Styela clava: one gene and its partner. The protein of the gene in region 2 interacts with the protein of the main gene of each other region in a biochemical or structural test. Links are inferred from orthologs where the notes say so. Each region holds a gene or a part of one and is shown on either strand. Other genes may lie near its edges.

Region 1 (3,930 bases), on a different chromosome or scaffold from region 2:
ACCTCGGAAATGATGTACCTAAATTATGTGACATTTGAATCAGGAAAAGTAAGTGAATTCGTCCCGAAGTTAGACTTGACAAAATATATATACCCGATGAGAAACAACTGCGCAAATCAGACTTTTGCACCTATGTTGCGATCTTCTATGACTAAACCATAGATTGTATAAATTCGAACTTGCTTAGGTGAATTTGGAAATTTTATGCTGAAAAAAACCACAAGCCACTTTTTCTATGATTGTGTAATGGCAATTTTGAGAAACAAAAGTCAATTTCAACTTTTCCAAGGGATTGTACGTTAGGAAACTCTAGTAATTTCCACAACTGCTTTGCAATCCTACTCTTCTTGTCCGGTTTTATACATAAAATACAACTCAGTTCAGTATACTTACCACAAATCTGCTTGGAGCGAGATTGAACGATAAATCGCATACAAAAACATATTACAAACACTGACTGTATCCCAGTACTCAGCGCGCTCATCGTGATTTCCACATAAATGCCAGAAAGGTTCAAATAGAGGAAGACTACCACATTTCAAGATAAGATAGCAAGATTTAAGACTCAAGACATGGCTCAATTGTTCCAGGTACACAGCAACAATCCTAATTCAAAAGTCTCAAACTGCAGCCTCAGTTGGTTTATTAGAAATCTCACAAATAAAAACACTACTTTTTAAATCCATAACTTTAAAATTACCGCTTAGGGATTAGCACTAGTTTCAAAGCGACCAAATACCTACTCCTGATAATAAATTCCAGCATTTTCCACAGAAGCTCCAAATTCCGAAACAATGATGCTATTTCCAAAACGAAGCCTTCAATACTTAAATTTCGAAAAATGTTTTCATTCCTAATACGTTAAGAAATCCAAATCCTATGCGCACAGTTTAAAGAATCCTTTTTCTCCAGATTCCATAATTTCAAACGTGGATCCTAATCCATCCAAAGAAATGGTATCCTATCCAACTAGCGGCAAATCCCCATTCGCAAAAAGGATCCAAAGATCTGTCAATTTCAAACAAAAATAGAATTAATAAGAATGATTGGATAGGGAACCACAAACATCAAATAAAATAAATTCCTTCCGGGCCTCCCAATGCTACAATCATATTCAAATTCCAAAATCCAGGGATTTCAGTATCCTAGTCCAATTGAAGACATGTGATTCCATTTCACGATATCCTATATTCTTTAGACAAGATGATCTCCAGTAATGGATGATCCAAGTTCTAGACAAATTAACAAAAAAATGTTATTCAGCTTGGTACGAGAATTATTTTGTATACACAATTTGCTTTGCATTTTCATAAAATGCGCAGCATGTTTTTACATGCTATCAAACTTTAACTGGGCAGTTTGTACTGATATACAAAAATAAAAACTTGATTTAAAATCATCGAGATCTTGATCGAGAACGACGAGGAGAGTAAGACGCAGAACGACGTCGTTTTGGTGAGCGAGAATAAGATCGACGGCGAGGGCTGTAAGAAGGGGAAGACCGTCCTCCTCCACCACCACCCCCACGAGCTCCAAAGCTTCTACGACCTCGACTGTTGGACCGAGATCGGGATCTTGAGCGTGATCTAGAACCACCACCACCACCAGCTGAAGAGTCAACTTTGACCCTGATGTATGCAACTTCTCCCTAAAAACAAAAACACCATTAGTAAAATATGCTTGAGAGACTTTAATAAATATATTTGTGATCTAATTACTTCGTGAGACTTGAATTTGGTATCATCCAAATGTTTGACAGCAAACTTCACATCTTCTCTGTTGACAAATTCAACAATTCCAGTTCCATCCCTGAATACATCTGCATAACAAACATCACCAGCTTCTCTCATATGATCTTTTATGTCTTGCCAACTTCCAGTAGGCGGCAAACCTGAATATAAACATAAACCTGAATAAGACTGGATTCTCTACAAATGAAAAACTTCTTGTTTATGTGATAAAAGGTACAAAGCAACGAATATATACCTGAGATCATAACTCTGTGGTTTGTCCTTTTGGATGGAGGTCCTCCTCTGCCTCTACCAGGTTCATATCTTCCACCACCGCCGCCACCACCACCCATAAAGTGACCGCCACCACGCATTGGCGGCCCACTGCCTCTAGGGTATTCAACTCTAAGTCGATAACCATCATAATCATATCCGTTCCTCCCTCTGATTGCATCTTCTGCATCCCTGGTAAATAAATTCATGAAATATTATCGACTTGATTGTATGCATACTACTATACTAGCAAAGTAGTAAAACTGACCGATTTTGCAAAATTAAATACTTCAAAAAGCTAATACAGCATGATTATAATACAGTACTGCAGTATGAAAGCATAGTTAAAATAATAAAAAAAAGTTCATAAATCAGTATTCTGGTACGGTAGTAGACTATACATACAGCCATATGGTACCGTACCTGGAATCATTAAATTCGACAAATGCAAATGGTGGCCCTTTCCTGTTTTTCAATTCAACAAATTTTATATCTCCATATTTGTGAAAAAGGTCTTCAACATCCTTTTCTCTGACATCAGGAGGAAGATTTCCTACATACACTCTGCTATCTCGGCTCATATTTTCTTTATGTTTAATCAATTTTATTCCAAGTATAAACCTGCAGACCAATTATTTGTTACAAAAAAGGAGATATACTTTAAAGACAACATAGGTGAACAAGAAGACGATGCAGAAACTCAAAGTGATTTCGCACCACTGCCTCACAAAGAAAGAAACTTGTGTTCTTCTTAATGGCCGCAGGGCAAACGTCATTTCCGCCTTTCGTGTGCTGTTGTCAGTTTACAACGTGGTACTTTTCGGTTGCTGGTCAGCGTATTTGAACGCAATTCCGTTTTTGTTTGGATAAAAATAAACTAATACAGATTGTGCCTTATGTATGTATTTTTTACCTATTTTGGCACTATCAAATATAATATTTGGTCAAGCATCGTCACACTTGTTGTTGTATACCATAAGAAAATCTGGCAAGTGAAATATATGCGGATGAATACAGCAAAATGAGGAGATTAATTTGCTCGCCATCCACATATCAAGCACACGGCGAGTGGCGTATTTCAAAATGCAATCGAATCACACATACATGCAAATAATTTACGAATTTGTCATTTCATATTAAATCATTTCGTGGTTCTTTTGTCTCGGGGAAAAATATGAAATATCCTATTTGAATTTTGGGAGAAGAAAAACACCAGCAAAAAATCCAAAAATACACTAAAACAAGTCAATATTTAGGACGTTAAAAATATGCTTGAGTGAGAATAGAACGTAAAAAGAGTTATTGCATAACATGTTTGATATGAGCGACTGGTTAAATATTATTTATTAGGTCGCCGTAAACCTTTTACTGTAAAGTGGTTTGTTGCTGTAAAGTCATTGTTCCGAAAACAAGGATTGGCTCATAGAACGCCCATGGCTATGAACTGTGGTGGCCGGATTCTAAGGCTATACCAGTTGTAAGGCCCAATTTTAACAATGACGTCATAAAACACCGTTGGATGCATTATGAAGTCATATTCGGGCTTTCAAAGATATATAAAATATATTATGACATCATCAAAATTTTTGAAATGGGTGATAAAAAAGTTAATGATAAAAGAGATATAAAAATAAAATATAATAATTATTAGATTCGTTGTTGAGCAGATCAATATGTATAACCATATATCGTTATTTTTTTTTATCTTTTTAAAAATTAAGGCTTTTTAATTGTTCAAAATTGGGTACTTCAAAAGTATGTGAACCAAGATGTGGCGGATAGTATAGCACCAGGTTAGGGTTAGTCCATAATTTTATTCCGATTTTCCTTATTTTAGTTATATTACGAGTTCGGGACTAGCCAAGTGACTCCCGTAGTATTTGTACCTGAAATTTTATGACATTGTATGATCTAATCAAGTGGCAAA
Region 2 (3,930 bases):
TAGCCGGTAAACACATACTATGTTCAGGTATTGCGCCATCTTGGCGCGCATACTCCTGGAGGTCCGATTATATAAACAAAATTAGACAACTAACCTGCTTTTCTTGCTTTGACCTCGCTTTTCTTTCTTCCGACTTCATTTTAAAATATTCATTTGTGGCCCGAAAATCACATTTACCTAGATCTGTTATAATCTCCTTTTCCTTGCTGGTCATAACCTTGAAAAAAATAAAATGCAATTGTCAATCTCCATTATCTAATTCACCAAAAGTCATCTGTCAATCTCCATTATCTAATTCACCAAAAGTCATCAATTCAATAATACATAGTCAGGTGTAAATTACCCAAACAAGAGAGAATTATCAAAGTAAAGTTGACTATCTCAAATTCACTAAATTATAAAACTTTGAAAAGCTGATAGAAGCATGAATTCCTAATCTAAATTTGATCTATCCATCTATCTTAAAAGTATTCAATACAAACCTTGCGCCAGTCATGAAAAAAATTTTTATTGAAGATTTCTTTCGAAGTATAATCGTGGTCCAACATTTTAGCATAGAACGTCATTACCTCTTCTGTTTCTGGTTCGAGATGCATCACTTTCCCTACAAAAGCATTGATGAAACATCAAGTATTGCTTATTGTATTGGCACAAACTGAGGTTAAAAATAAAATATATGTGATAATGGCTATGATTTGCTGCAGAGTTGTTGCTTCCAAACTTTCTTACCGCCATATTTGAAAGGAACAGAACTTGGCAGAGGTTCATATTCAGGGGCAAACATTGGTCCTTTGTGTTCAAGAGTTTTCCATTTAATTCCATCATCAGTATCCTTCTTTTCTTCCCACCACTTCCACTTTGAAGCTGCTTCCTCCTCTTCTTTCATTTTCTTTGTTTTCTTGAAGAAATTAACAGAATTTAAATATTGTACCAATCCTTGACATTACCTTTTTTATACACATGTATGCCATAATGCATTTCCCCCAATATGAGAGAGCCATAGAAAAATGAACCTAACATTCTGGACCATATAAAGACGTTGCTTTTAGTCTACAATTGAACACTCACCTTTTTTGTCGGACTAGACAATGTAGAGGAAGGTTCGGCCTTCGTTTTAACTTTTTTCTAAAATAGAAAATTCATTATGACATAACATTTATTTTAAAATATATCAATAATCAATATCAAATCAATACTAAACCAAATACTTCTCATCAATTCTTCCAACGTTGTACAATGTTACAATACTGAAGGAGCCGGGCAATAAAATAAACTGAGATTTCGGTAATGTTAAGCGTAAAACAGACTAAGGCTATATCGAATGACCATTTCCTGACTTACAATATTTGGCTTCACATCATTTTCTTCAGCTTTTCGTTTCTTGGCATGTTTTTCCTTTTTCAACTTCTTCTTCATTCTATAATTGTTGACATGAAAATTATATTTGATGTATCTGGACATATATCATTCTGGTTAATGAATTTTCAACACATACCTCCTGATTTCTTCATTATCTCCATGATTAGTAACCCCTGAATTCTGATGAGGCTAAAAATGAATTCCAAAGTTGTTACGGTATGATATAAATAAATTGCAATTTAATACAAAAATTGGAAAAATAAAATGCCAAATACAATTTAGTGTTTTCCAAATAAAATTTTGGTTGCCCGCCCCTATTACTAACCTCTCCAGAATCCATTCTTTCTGTTTTAACTTGCATAACACCTTGACTGAAAAGAAAACAAAATCTGAGTTAAATAATTGCAAGTCAAGATATGATTGAGGGCAGGGTAGGAAAGTGCCAACCCCTTTATTGGCAAATATCAAAACCAAATTCAACTCTATGAAAAAAGAAAAGTATAAACAGGGAAGAAAACACTAAAAATTTATATGACGATCATGGACCAAGATAAGATTACTTTCACGAGATAGAATTGATTGCAGATAATTCAACTAATAATGCAATGAGTGATATAATTTACTGGATTCAATTAATACAAAGCATCAGCAAGAAACTCAATTTAAAAGATCTTACTCTCCAGCATGATTGGCAGTATGGTGTTCTGGTCGGTGCTCCCTTTTAATTCTTATTCTTTTCCCATCAGGACCAATTTTTGGTTTTCCATTTGAATCAAGTACATATTTGTGCTTACGATCTTTATCCTGAACAAAATAAATGACTATTATTAATAAGGTGCATGGACAACTTGTCTAGATTATTTCTTAATACAATTATCTAATAAGGCATGCAGTGATATATCACAGCCATAAAATATTCCAATTGATTTGGATTTCATTTGATTTCGCTGCATATTTTATTTATTTTGGGTTTACTCATTTTATAGAATATTGAAGTAGGTATTCATGAATTGAAAGATATCATTAAATCTGAGCTTGTCACTTCAAATCAATTTCATATATTTCAAAACTCTTCTATTACATACCCTACCTTAAATATCTTCCAGTCCCATTAAAGAATTATATTAATTATTAAAAACAAACAAAATTTAGAGAACAATATATCAAAAATAAATTCAACCTTGTGATGCTTATGCTTGTGAGGCGAATGTAATTTCTGTGGTGATGAACCATTCAGTGTTGTTGAGGAGTGTGCGAGTTCCATGGAAAGCAAACTAAAAAGGATTTTAAATTTTATAATTGAAAGATCATTCAGTCATTGCTAATGCAGTCATAAACCCATTAAAAAGTAACAAAACATTTAAAAATATAGAAATAACATATGCTATTTCACAGCCTTGCTAATAAAGTACGGGTACTGACAGTAGGGCTATTTTCGAATAACTTACCTAATATTAACAGTGAATAGTAGACGATCAGCGTCTGTCTTGTCTGTAGAATCAATAGAAAATGACTTCGCAAAGTTTTTTTCTTGGTCGTTGCCCTTGATTCAAAAACTGAATGACGACTCCAATGAGTAATGAAACCAAATTCGTAGTTATACACTTCAAGGCAGTGGAGTCGTAACCAACAAAGCAGACAAACGAAGAACCACACAAGGCAAACCAGAAGACAGTAATGGCGTTCAAAAAAAAGAACAAGTCCGACAATTTCCGTCTGCGCATGCGCACAGACTTAGCTTCTTTACCTTTTTCTTTGCCTGTGTTACGCAAACGGGTGTCGCGAGAAAAAAGTTAGAGTCTTTTGTCTGAGTTTAAACCTATGTTTTCGTTCAGATGTGCGCTGAGTTGGCGTGAGTGCGCTTGTAGTTTTATGAACGCGATTTGTCGATTCACGCAGTGAACACGAATCACCGTACTAACATTCTGAGATAAATTTCAATGTTGCTGCGTGTGGTCATATGTACATGCAGGGAAATCAAAGTCATTTCACGTTGCAACCAAACCGCATTGTTTCATCGCCAATTTACATATGCAATAAACCCAAACACATTCGATTTTTTCTGTTACGAACCTTCCTTTTTACGCATTGACGACATTTAACCACTTATGCATTTCACAGTTAGTTAGAATTATTAAAATCCCATAGATTTTCCCCACTTATACCATGGAATATCAGACCTCAAGTACAGAGTGCTGTCACCACAATTCCCAGTAATATTATGAAGAATATAAAGCATATATTCAAAGATGTCCATACACAATAATTTCATATGTTTTGAACTTGCTTGCTAGTGGTGCAATTGTCCTATACACTGCCTCAAACTATATCTTTTGAATTATTTAGTTGTTCTTATCCACTAGCATAAACCTTCTGGCTATTTTAATAACATTGTGGATCTTCTCTCTCATCAAGAACAATGTCTTCTGATACTTGGACAAATTTACAAAAGCTGAAAATGAAACAGGAAAGTTTAAGGGAAAGAATACAAAGAAGAAGACAGGGCCATAAAGGTGTGTTTTCCTTCCAAGACTTGATGGATATTTTTGAGTGATTACTATTTTCATGAAT

The links.
Region 1: the proteins of DNA topoisomerase I, mitochondrial-like (region 2) and serine/arginine-rich splicing factor 1B-like form a complex in vitro, tested with the Homo sapiens proteins (2 studies listed by BioGRID, with this or other methods). The link is inferred for Styela clava from reciprocal best matches to the Homo sapiens genes TOP1 and SRSF1.

What each region holds. Positions count from the first base shown.
Region 1 is NC_135257.1:13,136,424-13,140,353, reverse strand, and holds serine/arginine-rich splicing factor 1B-like, read right to left. Parts: upstream 2,728-3,930; 5' UTR 2,585-2,727; coding exon 2,427-2,584; intron 2,196-2,426; coding exon 1,987-2,195; intron 1,892-1,986; coding exon 1,719-1,891; intron 1,649-1,718; coding exon 1,397-1,648; 3' UTR 627-1,396; downstream 1-626. UniProt on the Homo sapiens protein: Plays a role in preventing exon skipping, ensuring the accuracy of splicing and regulating alternative splicing.
Region 2 is NC_135263.1:8,555,112-8,559,041, forward strand, and holds the start of DNA topoisomerase I, mitochondrial-like, read right to left. Parts: upstream 3,016-3,930; 5' UTR 2,808-3,015; intron 2,634-2,807; 5' UTR 2,624-2,633; coding exon 2,540-2,623; intron 2,164-2,539; coding exon 2,036-2,163; intron 1,731-2,035; coding exon 1,685-1,730; intron 1,549-1,684; coding exon 1,496-1,548; intron 1,418-1,495; coding exon 1,342-1,417; intron 1,126-1,341; coding exon 1,069-1,125; intron 899-1,068; coding exon 730-898; intron 605-729; coding exon 483-604; intron 218-482; coding exon 95-217; intron 1-94. Other genes in the region: N(6)-adenosine-methyltransferase catalytic subunit METTL3-like, read left to right, coding at 3,779-3,872. UniProt on the Homo sapiens protein: Releases the supercoiling and torsional tension of DNA introduced during the DNA replication and transcription by transiently cleaving and rejoining one strand of the DNA duplex.